Oryctolagus cuniculus: one gene and its partner. The protein of the gene in region 1 interacts with the protein of each later gene in a biochemical or structural test. Links are inferred from orthologs where the notes say so. Each region holds a gene or a part of one and is shown in the gene's direction. Other genes may lie near its edges.

Evidence for each region.
Region 2: the proteins of EHD1 (region 1) and SNAP29 form a complex in vitro, tested with the Homo sapiens proteins (2 studies listed by BioGRID). The link is inferred for Oryctolagus cuniculus from reciprocal best matches to the Homo sapiens genes EHD1 and SNAP29.

What each region holds. Positions count from the first base shown.
Region 1 is NC_091432.1:6,626,116-6,633,720, forward strand, and holds the start of EHD1 (EH domain-containing protein 1), read left to right. Parts: upstream 1-2,861; 5' UTR 2,862-2,994; coding exon 2,995-3,013; intron 3,014-3,922; coding exon 3,923-4,352; intron 4,353-6,811; coding exon 6,812-6,909; intron 6,910-7,605. UniProt on the Homo sapiens protein: ATP- and membrane-binding protein that controls membrane reorganization/tubulation upon ATP hydrolysis. In vitro causes vesiculation of endocytic membranes. Acts in early endocytic membrane fusion and membrane trafficking of recycling endosomes.
Region 2 is NC_091452.1:29,625,190-29,632,310, forward strand, and holds part of SNAP29 (synaptosomal-associated protein 29), read left to right. Parts: intron 1-1,677; coding exon 1,678-1,874; intron 1,875-7,121. UniProt on the Homo sapiens protein: SNAREs, soluble N-ethylmaleimide-sensitive factor-attachment protein receptors, are essential proteins for fusion of cellular membranes.

The sequences.
Region 1 (7,605 bases):
CCCCCCACAGCTCTCCCCCAGTGCACTTGGCGGGAGACAGAAGGGAGGACCGGGACGTGGGGCCCCCAGGCTGCGAGGCCATCTCCTTCCCTCCCGTGGGCGAGTGACCCAGTGGATAGAAGAGCTGCCTCCTGCGCCTGCGTTTCAAACAGCCTCTCAGGGAGCTGGGGGTGGGGGCGGGGGCGGGTGCTGCGGCTCACACAGTCAGCAAGGCCTGAGCCCAACCGACGGCGCTGGGGTCTGTGCCCTGGGCCCTTACGCTCCGCTGCCAGCAGGGTGTGTGTGTGCGAGACTGTGTGCATGTGTGTGTGTGAGAGTGCATGCGTGAGTGTGCGTGTGTCAGCGGTTCTATACTTCTGCCCCACCGGCTCTTGGGGCTGGGTCATTCTCGGCTGTGGGGCTGCGCCGGGCACCCCAGCTGCTTAGCAGCAGCCTTGGCCTCGACTCCCAAGTTGGCACAGCCGGGAACATCTCCAGCCATCGCGTGGTTCCCCTGGGGAGTAAGTCACCCCGGCTGAGGCCTCTGTGTGTGTGCGCACGCCAAGCCTTGTCGCACCCCACCTCGTTGGGGTTTTTAGATCATTTTTATTTATTTGAAAGAGTTACAAAAAGAGAGGGAAGGGGGGGGGAGAGAGAGAGAGAGAGAGACTGATCTTCCACTGCTGGTTCATTCCCCAAATGACTGCAGCGTCCAGGGCTGTGCCAGGAGCCTGGAGCTTCTTCTGGGTCTCCCAGGTGGAGCCTGGACAGAGTCGGGCCAGGCCAACAGAAGGCGCTGCTGTCCGGCCAGGCCACAGGGTAGACACGCAGGGGCAGCTGGCAGAGCCAGTGTCTGTGGCAGCGGCGTGGAGCCCCCAAGGGCCACTCCATGCTGCCGAGCAGACTTGGATTCTGGGAGAAGGGAAGGGAGGGGCTGTCAGCAGAGGGGCCTGGAGGGTGGCCTTGGGCTGAGTCCTGGCCCTCACTGAGGTGTGGGTGTGAGGGGCTGGGCTGGGTCCCAGTGGCAGAGGGGGACACACAGCCCCAGGCTGTGAGGCAGCCCAGACCCAAGGGAGCCGTGCAGAGAGGCCATGGTGAGGCGGAGGCCGCAGAGCAGAACATGGGCACACATGACCCGCCGGGCGCCACCCCCGCCTGGAGTCTAGGGCTAAGACCATGGCCACGCACGCAGCCACACCCAGGGGCCTCATCTGTCTTTCCAGGCTTCAGTTAGGATGAAAGGGACCCCCAGGACCCTGCCAAGGAGCCCCCCACCCCCACCGCGCCTGTCTGTCCTCAGCCTGAGGCGGGGCCATGCGGCCGCCTCCGGCCATCAGCAGCTGGCGTCCACCACAGGTGCAGAGAGGCCTCGCTGACAGCTCTTGGTGCCGTGGGCACCGCCCCTGGTGGATGTACAACCCAGGCCCCCAAGCTGCCCTTTGACCCACGCCCCCTATCTGCCACAGCTTGGAGCGTGCCCTGTTCAAGGCCCAGCCCCTCGTCCAGCCTGGGGTGCACAGAGCAAGTCCCTGCCCATCGCCAGCCCCAGCCCTTTCTCTCCTGGGATCTGAAAGCGGCCCAGGTCGCGACACCACCGTCTGCAAGCTGGGCCGTGTCCTGGCCGGGCCCCTGGAGCCCAGCACCCCATGGACACCCACACAAAGGAAGGGAGCCCCCCAGTTCTCCATTGGCTTGTGTCAAACCCGACCTGCTGGCCAGGCCTTCTCCTGATGGCAACAGCAAAACCGCTTACGCGCACTGCCCCCCCCCCCCCCCAGCCCCAGCGAGAAACTTGTGAGCTTTCGGCTCTTCGGCCCGCCCCGTCTGCCGCATCTGGAGGCTCCATTTTGTTGCTGTGGCTCTGAAGTTGCCTTTCGGGACCTTGAAGACTTTTCAGGCTGGGACGGGATGAAGGAGACCCCTGCGAGGCAGCCGGACCCCCGCCCTGCTGGCCCAGGGCCCACCCCCCCGCCGGGGTGCAGGTGTTTGTGGACGGAAGAGGAAGCCGCGCGGGCCAGAGGTGGGGATGGTTTCAGAGACGGAAATATCTGGACCCTCCCTCCATCTGCCCCAGGCCCAGGCAGAGAGTGAAACAGCAGGGAAACCAAAAGTGAAATTAGTTCACTCGCATTAAAACTTTCCCACAAACACGCACAGAGAAGACAAGACCGAACACGGGGACCGTCTCTCAGCCCAAGGCCTGGGCGCACGCTTGATGCCACAGGCGGGGGGCTGGCCCCCGGCCCACCAAGCCCCAGCAGCCAGACGGGTCCTTGGAGAGCGCCAAGCGGCCGTGCCCAACGACAGGGTCCCAGCTCCATTTATAAATAACCCAGGAACATTCTGTTTCCACGTTTCTGGGGCCGGGCTTCCCAGCACACAGGGCTCTGGGGACCTGACAGCCACGGCTGGTCAATGACAGCACTGCGGGGGGGGGGGGGGGGACAAGCCCAGCCCGGCCTGGTCCAGGCCTGCGAACAACCGCCCCATTGAGGATCCCTGCCCCGGGCTCTCCCTGCACCAGCCCAGAAACGGCATCTCCGGGGTGGGCCGGGGCCCTGGGCGGCGGCCGCATATCCTTTGGCTTCTAAGGCCGCCCCAGGAAGTCCGGACTGGGCCTGCCGGGGGCTCCTGGTCAGCAGCTGGCACGGCCTCCGGTGCCGGCCCCGCCTGGGAGCCTCAATGTCCTCTTTTGAGAACAGCACCCCCCCCCCGCACCCCCCCCAGAGTGTTACTGTGGCCCGGACCTGATTCCAGGAACGCCCATCTGTTGTCCAGCGGGCACTCAGTCCCGCAAAGGCAGAGGCCAGCAAACCTCCCCCGCCGGGCTCCGCCCCCCTCGGCTTCCTGCGTGGTCCCCCGGGAGGGTCGGAGGCCCCCAGGTCCCCTCTTGCAGGTGTCCAGACCTGGTTACCTAACAATCGCGGTGCCCGGGCTCTGACGTCACCCGGGAGGGTTCTCAGCGGCCCCAGGAGGCCGAGGCGCGGCCAGGGAGGATGGCGGGGGCCTGAGCCGATGGAAGAGCCGGGGACCGGTAAGGGGCCCGGGGCCCGGGGGGTCGCCGGCCGTGCTCCGCAGGAGAAAGCGGAAGTACTTGGGCTTTTGAATTTCCCCTAAGTTCCCACAGGCTGCGTTGTTGCCCCCGCACGCGGGGAATTTCCGATTTCACTTCCTTAAACGCTCGTGGCCGGAGGGCCTCGGCTTCCGTTTTATCGCCTCGTGCCCTGCCACGGTGCCCGCACGGCCCGTGGGCGCCCCCGGACGCCCGCCCGCTCTTTCGGACGCTCGGCTTCCTCCGCCCCTCTCCTGCCTCTCCCGGTCCCGGGGCGATCAGAGTGAGCGGGCCGCGGGCTCCCGAGGGCCGCAGGCGGCGGGAGGACGGTTCTGAGGGGAACCGGATGAGGCGCACTGTCCGGGCTCCCGGGCGTCTAACTGGGTGTCTCGCGGAGCCCTGTGGCGGGGGCGGGGGCGCACGGGTGCTCGCAAGGCGGGTAACACCTCGAACGCCGACCCCTCAGTTCCCGCCTTTCCAACCGCAGCACTTCCGCGAGCCGCCCCGCGAGGGGCGGGGCGAAACAGGTGCGGTTGCCACGGCGCCCCGGCCAGAAGCTCGCGAGATTTGGACTCAGCCAATAGCAGGCGGGGGAGGGGAGGACGTGGCACGGGGCTGGGGGCGGGGCCCGGAGGGGCTCCTCCCTCCCGCTCCCGAGGCCGCGCTGCCCCCACCCCGCGGCGGCGGCGCGGGCACCCGCACGCCGCGCCCGGCCCTATAAAGGGCGCCCGGCCGGGCGCGCGCTCCACTCGGCAGAGGGCGCCTCCGCGAGCCGCGCCGTGCGCCTGCGCAGTGCGGGCCGCTCCCGCCCGCTGCCCGCCGCCGGCCGGCCCGGCCCCTCGTCGGCCCCGCGCCCTCCGCGCCGGCTCTCAGCCGCTCTCCGCCCCGCAGCCGCCGCCAGCACCGTGTCCGGCAGCATGTTCAGCTGGGTCAGCAAGGATGCGCGGCGCAAGAAGGAGCCGGAGCTGTTCCAGACGGTGGCCGAGGGCCTGCGGCAGCTGTACGCGCAGAAGCTGCTGCCGCTGGAGGAGCACTACCGCTTCCACGAGTTCCACTCGCCCGCGCTGGAGGACGCGGACTTCGACAACAAGCCCATGGTGCTGCTCGTGGGCCAGTACAGCACGGGCAAGACCACCTTCATCCGGCACCTGATCGAGCAGGACTTCCCGGGGATGCGCATCGGGCCCGAGCCCACCACCGACTCGTTCATCGCGGTCATGCACGGGCCCAGCGAGGGCGTGGTGCCGGGCAACGCGCTCGTCGTGGACCCGCGGCGCCCCTTCCGCAAGCTCAACGCCTTCGGGAACGCCTTCCTCAACAGGTGCGGCCGACCCCACCCGCCCCCTCCCGGGCCGTGACCCCGCCGTCCTTTGTCTGCGAGGCCCCCTGGAGACCCTCGGGGCAGGGCCCGGCCCGGGGAAGACGCCTCGGGCAGCCCGGGAGGGGGCGTCGCCGGCTCCCCGCGCCTCCGGACCCTCAAATTCCAAGGCCTTGGGCAGACCCCAGCCCCTCTTCGCCCAGCGCCGGGGGCAGTGCTCCTGGCCGCTCTCGGGTCTCCACGGCCCCCCGCCCCGGACCTGACGCGCTTAATTCATTCCGAGCCAGCCCGCCCCCTCCCTCCCTTCGGGGGTCGTGCAAACTTGGCGCGGCGGGGCTGACACCCCCAGCGCTGCCTCCCCGGGCCCCCGCGGCTTTGTGCGGGTGGCATGGGCAGCCCCTTGGTGTTGGAGCGGGGCTCCCCAGCGCCCTTCCTAAGGGGTCGCTGTGGGGGGAAACAGCTCGGGGCAGTGGCCTGGTGGCCTGGAAGGCGACCCCCGAAGCTCCTTACGCTGCTTGGATCTCAGCCCACGTCCAGGGGGTGAGGGCCCTGGGAATGAGAGGCACTGGCCTCCCCCAGGGCGTGCACCGCCCAGGCCACCCCCCCAGGGACATACCAGAGGAGCCAGACCCGCCCCTCCCCCCATTCCAGGACGACTCCGGGGCTGGGGAGCTGAGGAATGGGCGCTGAGGCCTGCCCCGTCCCCACCCTACACGCCGCATTCCTGTGCAGACACTGTCCAGCCTGCGCGGGGCGGACCAGCTGGCCCCACAGCCCGGCCCAGGCTCCTCCGGGCCCGGTGCTGACACTTAATACGGCTCTTTGGGCCTCCGGGCATCTCAGGCTGGTTTGTGGCTGATGGCCTGTGAGTGCTAAGGTCAGCGGGAAGAAAAGCCCTTTGGGCTAAGGCTCCCAGGACCCTTGGGCCTCGGCTGGACCGCGCCTGTCTGTCGGCCGCCGTGGGCTCCAGCTGTTGGGCCCCGGGAAAAGTTTGGCTGCCCTGGTGGGACGCTGGGTCCCCGTGTGCGCGGCCTGTGGGGAAGCCGTCCCTCCCCTGCTGCCCGTGGTCTTCATTCGGGGCCGGCAGGGTCTCTGTCCTCTCAGCAGCCCCCACCTGCCTGGCCCCCAGATCCCAGAACCACACTCTGCCTTCTCCAGAAAGTCCCCGGATGCCGGCGGGCCTGGTCCGAGGGAGGCACGGAGCAGCGGCCTCGCTAGTGGGGACAACAAAGGGGACTTGTCTGGCTGAGGCAGCCTGTCCCAGCCGGTCACCACCTCACTCTTGGGGGCCCCCATGTCCCAGCTGGTCACCACCTCACTCTCGGGGTCCCCCATGTCCCAGCCGGTCACCACCCTCACTCTCGGGGTCCCCATGTCCCAGCCGGTCACCACCTCACTCTCGGGGGGGTCCCCGTGTCCCAGCCGGTCACCACCTCACTCTCGGGGTCCCCATGTCCCAGCCGGTCACCACCTCACTCTCGGGGTCCCCATGTCCCAGCCGGTCACCGCCTCACTCGGCCCCCACCCAGGGGCCGCCCTCAGGAGCAGGGCCTGCATCAGGGCACCCTGAGGGTATCGTGAGAACTCCCCGCTGCATGGCCAGGCCTGCCCACTGTGCGCGGGGTCAGCGTGGCTCCTCTTGGCTCCTCTTGGGCCCTGCGCCCTGCGCTCCACACGGGTCCTGCAGATGTTCCCTCGCTTGCCTGGCTGGCGGCCAGGGCACTTGGACATGCGCTGCTCTCGGGCCAGTTTTCCAGAGCCCTCCCTTCGGTGGCCTCTGTCCAGCGACTCCCTCCCTCGCTGACCCCCAGGCCTGGGTGCCCGGCTGCTGGCCCAGGGAGGGCGCGGGCCGAGGCGCGCTCCCGCCGGTGGGCAGCTGGCTGGGCTCTGGGCTCCAGCCGCCCCCAGCCTGGGGGTCGCTTGCTGCTTTGCTCGTGGCACCTCTGTCAGAGAGGCCTTGGAAGGAGCTTGGGCGTCGAGGGAGGGCTGTGCCGGGCGCAGGCTCGTTCTGGCGTGGCTGAGCCCTTGGAGTGAGCCGTCAGCCCGTCACGCGTCGTTCTGGGCAGAGTGGTTGGCTGCACTTCCTGCGCGGCCCCCAGCCCGGCGGGTGGCCCCAGCAGGAAGAGGACGCCTCGGGTGGTTGCAGATTTCAGCGCGGGACGCCCAGGGCCCCGAGTCACCCTTCTGTTTCCTTCTGAGCGGAATGGTGACCCCGGCGCACGCAGTGTGCACGGGCGACTCAGCAACTTGGAAGCTGAACTCTCGAACTCTGGGGTCGGGCGGCTGCGCGGGAAGTGCTGATGGGGTCAGTTTGAGGGCCGCTTGCCGGCCAGCCTGCACGTGAAGACGGTGGAGAGGCTCCCGCAGGCCCCTTCTGGAAGGGAAGCGGAAGTGGAGATGCAGGGGTGAGGAGAGCAGCCCAGCTCGCTGCTGACCGCGGTCTCCCACCTTGTCTCGCGTAGGTTCATGTGTGCCCAGCTGCCCAACCCGGTGCTAGACAGCATCAGCATCATCGACACCCCCGGCATCCTGTCCGGAGAGAAGCAGCGCATCAGCAGAGGTGAGCGGGTGCCCGGGCAGGTGACAGGGACAGCGAGGACGCGCCCACGGTTCTGGGTGGCCGCTGTCCTTTCGGGGCCCTGGAATGGGGCCAGTATTGCAGCAAAGCGGGTAAAGCCGCCACCTGTGGTGCCGGCGTCCCGTGTGGGTACCGTTCATGTTCCTGCTGCCCCACTTCCAAGCTAGCTCCCTGCTGCTGGCCCTGGAGAATTCAACGTAAAATGGCCCCCGTATTTGGGCCCTGGCCCCCAGCTGGGCCTGGATGAAGCTCCCGGCTCCTGGCTCCGGCCTGGTCCAGCACCGGCAGTTGAGCTGTCGGGAGTGAACCAGCAGATGGAAGGGGTCTCTCTCTCCCTCTCTCTCCCCCCCTCTCTCTCCTTCTCTCCCCCTCTCCCCCTCTCCCCTTCTCCCCCTCTCCCCCTCTCCCTCTCCCCGTAATTCTGACTTTCAAATAAATACATGAAAATCTCTAAAGAAGACAACAACCACCGTAGGATGTGCCGGAAGCCACAGGATGGGTGGTGGGGTGGGGCCGGGCTCCCCTCCATATCGCCGACCCTGGCCGGGCCCCTGGCGCCACCTGGGGCTCGCCTGTTTGTGTTGAACTGTCCTGCGCTTGAGGCGCTGTGAGTCCCCGTGAGCCCAGCAGGGCTGTGAGTGAGCCTGGCGGGCTATGTTGAGTCCAGAAATGTGGGTG
Region 2 (7,121 bases), on another chromosome or scaffold:
ATCCCAAATGGGTACTGATTCAACTCATAGCTGCTCCACTTCCCATCCAGCTCTCTGCTCTGGCCTGGGTATAGCAGTAGAAGATGGCCTAAGTCCTCGGGCCCCTATACCCACGTGGGAGTCCCAGAAGAGCTCCTGGCTTCAGATTGGCCCAGCTCCCGCCGTTGCAGCCATTTGGAAAATGAACCAAAAGATGGGAGATTAATTCATTCTCTCTCTCTCTCTCTCTCTGTAGTTGCCTTTCAAATAAATAAATAAATCTTTAAAAAAAAAAAAAAAAGGCTCAGGTTGCATGTCGAGTCCCTGAAGACCATAAAGGCCTTTCACTGACCTTTTATATCTAAAATGGGCTCCAACAAGCACACTGAGAGTTTCATTTTTTGTTTCTATAAATTTATTTTCATCAAAGCAACATTTTTTAAATATTTATTTATTTGAAAGAGTTACACAGAGAAGGAGAGGTGGGGTAGGGGGGTCTTCCATCAACTAGTTCACTCCCCAGATGGCCGCAGTGGCTGGAGCTGCGCCGATCAGGAGCCAGGAGCTTCTTCTGGGTCTCCCACGTGGGTGCAGGGGCCCAAGCACTTGAACCATCTACTGCTTTCCCGGCCATAGCAGAGAGGTGGATCGGAAGTGGAGCAGCCAGGACTCAAACCGGCACCCATATGGGATGCTGGCGCTTCAGGCCAGAGCGCCAAACCCCTGTGCCACAGCGCCAGCCCCCGAGAGTTTTTTTTTTTTTTTTTTTAACAGGCAGAGTAGACAGAGAGAGAGACAGAGAGAAAGGTCTTCCTTTGCCGTCGGTTCACCCTCCAATGGCCACCGTGGTCAGCACGCTGTGGCCGGCACACGCGCTGATCCGAAGCCAGGAGCCAGGTGCTTTTCCTGGTCTCCCATGCAGGTGCAGGGCCCAAGCACTTGGGCCATCCTCCACTGCACTCCCTGGCCACAGCAGAGAGCTGGCCTGGAAGAGGGGCAACCGGGACAGAATCCGGCACCCTGACTGGGACTAGAACCTGGTGTCCCGGCGCCACTAGGCAGAGGATTAGCCTATTGAGCCGCGGCACTGGCTTGAGAGTTTCATTTTTAATCCTTCAGATTTCCAAGATGGTATATTCAAAACTTGTTCATGACTTTGTTTTTAGGTACCAAGAGAGAACCTCTTTAAAGAGTATTTGTGTAGTGCACGTCACTGCTAAGCCACAGGGAGAATACGGACAGCAAATGGAGAGGAAGGGGCCAGCACTGTTGCATAGTAGGCTAAGCCTCCACCTGTGGCGCTGGCATCCTGTGTGGGTGCTGGTTCATGTCCTGGCTACTCTGCTTTCAGTCCAACTCTCTGCTTATAACCTGGGAAAGCAATGGGAGATGGCCCAAGTGCTTGGGCCCCTACAACCCAGTGGGAGACCCAGAAGAAGCTCCTGGCCTCAGATCAGCTCAGCTCCAGCCGTTGCAGCCATTTGGAGAGTGACCCAGCCAGATGGAAGTGCTCACTCTCTCTCTAACTATGCCTTTCAAATTAATAATATAAATCTTTTAAGCAAAAAATGATGACGTGCCCTTCACAGGTGACAGCGTCTGCCCCGACATGTGCTTCGCATTTATGGAGTACCCACATGTGGTTCTCATGGGCCAGGGAGAACTACCAGAAGGATAACTGCCACGTGTCTTTCCTAGGAGCTCGTCCGTCAGCGAGGAGTCTTAGAACGCACGGAGAAGATGGTGGACAAGATGGACCAAGATTTGAAGACCAGCCAGAAGCACATCAACAGCATTAAGAGCATGTTCGGGGGCCTTGTCAATTACTTCAAATCCAAACCCGCAGAGGCGGCCCCTGAACAGAATGGCACCGGCACCCCCCAGCCCAACAGCAGGTGAGTGTAGCAGAAGTGGGCTTTGGCGTGAACGGAAGACTTCCAGGCCTTGGCCGAGCCATGAGGGGATTCAGGAAGCCTGTAAGTTATACTTCAGGAGGGTTTTGTGTTAACCCATCTTCCCACGCCTGATTATATGTATTTGATTGGCACCTAGTCTGCAGATTGTGCATAAGTTGGGTTTCCAGTAAATTCCTGCTATACTGATTGTCACCCCAGTACTGAGAGTGTTCACCTCAGAAAGTTAGATCAGGCTGTAAGGGACTCCCTACACAATATCTGTACTTTATTTTTTTAAAAGATTTATTTTATTTATTTAACAGACAGAATTACAGAGAGAGGTAGAGACAGATAGAGAGGTCTTCCATTCGCTGGTTCACTCCCCAGATGGCCACAATGGTCAGAGGTGTGCCAATCCAAAGCCAGGAGCCAGGAGCTTCTTCTGGGTCTCCCACGTGGATTCAGGGACCCAAGCACTTGGGCCATCTTGTACTGCTATCCCAGGCTGTAGCAGAGAGCTGGATCAGAAAAGGAGCAGCCAAGACTAGAACTGGCGCACATGTGGGATGCCGGTGCTTCAGGCCAGGGCTTTAACCCGCTATACTGCAGAGCTGGCCCCAGCAGTATCTGTACTTTAAAAAGTCATTTTTCCCACCCAGGTGTTCTACATATAATTCAATTTGCCCATTGCTTTTCACTTTTTTATTTATTTTCATTTACTTAAAAGATACAGGGGCAGACACTGTGGCACAGCAGGATAAAGCCCCAGACTGCAGCACTGGCATCCCATATGGGCACTGGTTCAAATCCTGACTGCTCCACTTCCAATCCAACTCCCTGCTAATGTGCCTGGGAAAGCAGTAGAAGACGGCCCAAGTCCTTGGGCCCCTGTAGCCACGTGGGAGACCCGAAAGAAGCTCCTGGCTTCGGATTTGCTCAGCTCCAGGCATTGAAGCCATTTGGGAAGTGAACCAGCAGATGAAAATTTCTCTCTGTCTCTCCATAACTCTCTTTCAAATGAATAAAAACAAATATTTTAAAAAATAATACAAAAGGCATAGAGGGATTTTTCCATCCACTGGGTTACTCCCCAAATGCCCACAACAGCCAGGGCTAGACCATGCTGGAGCCATGAGTCAGGAATTCCATACAAATCACCCACAGAGGTGGCAGAGCAATAAGGCCTTGAGCCGTTGTCTGCTGCCACCTGGGAGCCTCAGCAGGAAGCTGGACCTGAAGCAGAGGAGCTGGTCCTCAAACCAGCACTCTGCTGTATCGGGCTGTAGTCTTCCCTGAAGCTGAGTGGGTCTGGGAAGAAAGGAATGTTGGTAAAGAGCCAGTAATGGTAGCAGAGAGAAGAGGTGGGGGAGGCTCCGGGCGTCTGGATCGGACACTGCAGGGAGGAAAGCAGGCCTCTGCAATGCCCTGGGGCTACTCCCGTAGATGCACCAGGGTTGATTTGTCTGGCTTAGGCCCAACCACCACTTCGCGCAGATTTTCCAGCTTGACCCTGATTTTAATTAATTACTTCTGAGATTTATTAATTCATTTATTTGAAAGGCAGAGTTACAAAGAGAGAAAGAGGGAGAGACAGAAGCAGAGATTTTGCATCTGCTGGTTCCCTCCCGAGATGACCATAACAGCCAGGCCTGGGGCAGATTCAAGTCACGAGCCAGGAACTTCATCTGAGTCTCCCACGTGAGTGCAGGGGCCCAATTACCTAGGCCATCTTTGCTGTTTTCCCAGGTGCTTTAGTAGGGAGCTGGATCAGAAGTGGAGGAGCCGGGACTCAAACCAGCACTCATAAGCGATGTCAGCATCACAGGTGACAGCCCTACCTGCTATGCTGCAATGCCGGCCCCGACCCTAACTTTAAATCCCTGTCACTCTTTCTCATAACAGAATTGGGTTTTCCTTTGGCTGCTTTTTTTTTTTTTTTTTTTTTTTTTTTGACAGGCAGAGTAGACAGTGAGAGAGAGAGACAGAGAGAAAGGTCTTCCTTTTTTGCCGTTGGTTCACCCTCCAATGGCCGCCACGGCTGGCGTGCTGCAGCCGGCGCACCGCACTGATCCGATGGCAGGAGCCAGGTACTTATCCTGGTCTCCCATGGGGTGCAGGGCCCAAGTACTTGGGCCATCCTCCACTGCACTCCCTGGCCACAGCAGAGAGCTGGCCTGGAAGAGGGGCAACCGGGACAGAATCCGGCGCCCCGACCGGGACTAGAACCCAGTGTGCCGGCGCCGCTAGGCGGAGGATTAGCCTAGTGAGCCGCGGCGCCGGCCTTCTTTGGCTGCTTTTAATTATAGATGAGTATCCCTCATCAGAAATGCTTGGGACAGAAGTGTTACAGATTTTAGTTTTTTTTGGATTTTGGAATATTTGCATAGACTTTACCAATTGAGCATTCCTAATTCCAAAATGCTCCAAGATCTAAAACTCAGCAGCGCTCAAGAAGTTTCAGATTGGGGGCAGGGCAGGAGTTGTGGCACCGCAGGTTAAGCCACACTTGGGACACCTACATCCGATGATGGAGCACCAGTTCAAGTCCTGGCTGCTCTGCTTCTGATCCAGCTCCCTGCTAATGCTCCTGGGAGGCAGCAGAGATGCAGCGAGTCAAGTACTGGAGTCTGTGCCACCCACCTGGGAGACCCACATAGAGCCTGGCTCCTGACTTCAGCCTGGCTCAGCCCTGATTGTTGGTCGTTTGAGGACTGACCCAACAGATAGAAAATCTCTTCCTCTCCCTCTGCCACTCTACCTTTGCAAATAAATAAATCAATCTTTTTCTAAAAAGGTTTAGGGTTTTGGAGCATTTAGGATTTTAGGTGTTCAGGCTAGGATGCTCAACCTGTGCCACAGGAAAGGTAGGATGTTCATTTAGTTTATTTTTTTTTTAAGATTGATTTATTTATTTGAAAGTCAGAGTTACACAGAGAGGAGAGGCAGAGAGAGAGAGATCTTCCATCCCCTGGTTCACTCCCCAAGATGGCTGCAATGGCTGGAACTGTGTGATACGGAGCCAGAAGCCAGGAGCTTCTTCTGGGTCTCCCCTGTGGGTGCAGGGGCCCAAAGACTTGGGCCGTCTTCTGCTGCTTTCCCAGGCCACAGCAGAGAGCTGGATCAGAAGTGGAGCAGCTGAGTCTCAAACTGGCGCCCATATGGGATGCGGGCACTGCAGATGGCAGCTTCACCCGCTACAGCGTCAGCCCCTCATTTAGTTTAGAATGAGACAGCCTCCCTGCACAAACCCAGGAACTGAGCAAGTCCTTGGAGGAGTAGAAAGCTGGCGAGTTGGTGATTGGACCCATCCTTGTCCCATGTGCCTCTTTACACAGGCTGCTTCCCAGGGATCTTGGAGGCCTCCACAGCCCCGAATTCTGCTACAAAAGCCTTTAAGGTTGTGAGGCTCCGACAAGGGCTGTTTTCTTTTGGGAAAACATCTCAAAACCTTGGGGCCCTCATACATTTGCAGTATTTCAGTGAGATGGGCTTCAAACGTACTCTGCCTCAGCTTCTGCCCACCAGCCAGCCCCAGTCAGCTATAGCATTCTTACTATCACCTAACAGATGCAAGAGAGCAAAGTTCTAAATGAAACAACTCCTGGTACTTAGCCATTACCCAAATGTGCATTGAATTACATCTGTTGTTGAATTTTTATCTTATATTTGAAAAGCAGAGATACAGAGATTCCAGCCACTGGTTCACTTCCCAAGTATAACAGCTGGGTCTGGGCCAAGCCAAAGCCCGGAGTCTGAAGTCAAAATGGATCTCCCACCTGGGTGGCAGGGACCCAAGTACTTGAGCCATCATCTGCCGCTCCCCAGGGTGTGCTTTAATAGGAAGCCGGAAAAAGAAGCGGAGCTGGGACTCCAATAATGGGATGTGGGCATCCCAAGCTTCGTCTCAGCTGTGCTACCAAGCACGTGACCCGAGAATCCATGCGCGTTGTAGAAGAGGCCACTGCAGTAGTGTTCCGTGTTTCTCTCCTCCTTGCATCCTGAGTGCCGCATCTGTGTCTGTGTGTGCTGGGAGTCACAGCTGCAGGAGGACAGCCTGCCGGGTGGAAGGTGTGGGGGAAGCAGACAGTCAACAAGGATACAGTAGGGGCCCTGAGGAAGGAGACGTGGTGGGGAGGACACGCTGGGGAGAGTGGCTGCAGGAGAGCCAGCAAAGAGGAGGACGCTGGATGCTTTAACAGTGTAGCAGACTGTGACACCAAAGTGTGTCCTGCAGGTTCCTGAGTCCTTCAGTTTGCAAAGGTCACTGCAATGTGTGCCCTCTTCCATAAGATGCATAAAATTGTGAGTAAAATTTTTGTGATCCTCAAAACCGTTAGTCCAGAAATACACGAGTATTTGCATTGAAAAGCTTTAAGGGGGCCGGCGCCGCGGCTCACTAGGCTAATCCTCCGCCTAGCGGCGCTGGCACACCGGGTTCTAGTCCCGGTCGGGGCGCCGGATTCTGTCCCGGTTGCCCCTCTTCCAGGCCAGCCCTCTGCTGTGGCCAGGGAGTGCAGTGGAGGATGGCCCAGGTGCTTGGGCCCTGCACCCCATGGGAGACCAGGAGAAGCACCTGGCTCCTGGCTCCTGCCATCGGATCAGCGAGGTGCGTCGGCCGCGGTGCACCGGCCGCAGCGCGCCGGCCACGGCGGCCATTGGAGGGTGAACCAACGGCAAAAGGAAGACCTTTCTCTCTGTCTCTCTCTCTCACTTCCACTCTGCCTGTCAAAAAAATAAAAATAAAAAAAATTTAAAAAAATAAAATAAAAGCTTTAAGGGGCAGGCATTTGGTCTAGTAGCTAAGACACCCACATTCCACATCCGAGTACCTGAGTTCAGTACCCACTTCTGCTCCGGCTCCTGACTCCAGGTTCCCACTGATGCAGCCCAGACCCTAGGAGGTAGCAGGTGACGCCTTAAGTTACTGGGTCCCTGCCAGTTGAGTTCTGGATCCTGGCTTCCATGCAGCTCAGCCCTAGCCATTATGGGCATTTGGGGAGTGACAGTGGATGGGACATTGTTCTGTCTCTCTAACATAATTTTTTTTTTTTTTTTGACAGGCAGAGTGGACAGTGAGAGAGAGAGAGACAGAGAGGAAGGTCTTCCCTTGCCGTTGGTTCACCCTTCAATGGCCGCCATGGCTGGCGCGCTGTGGCCGGCGCACCGCGCTGATCCGAAGCCAGGAGCCAGGTACTTATCCTGGTCTCCCATGGGGTGCAGGGCCCAAGTACTTGGGCCATCCTCCAC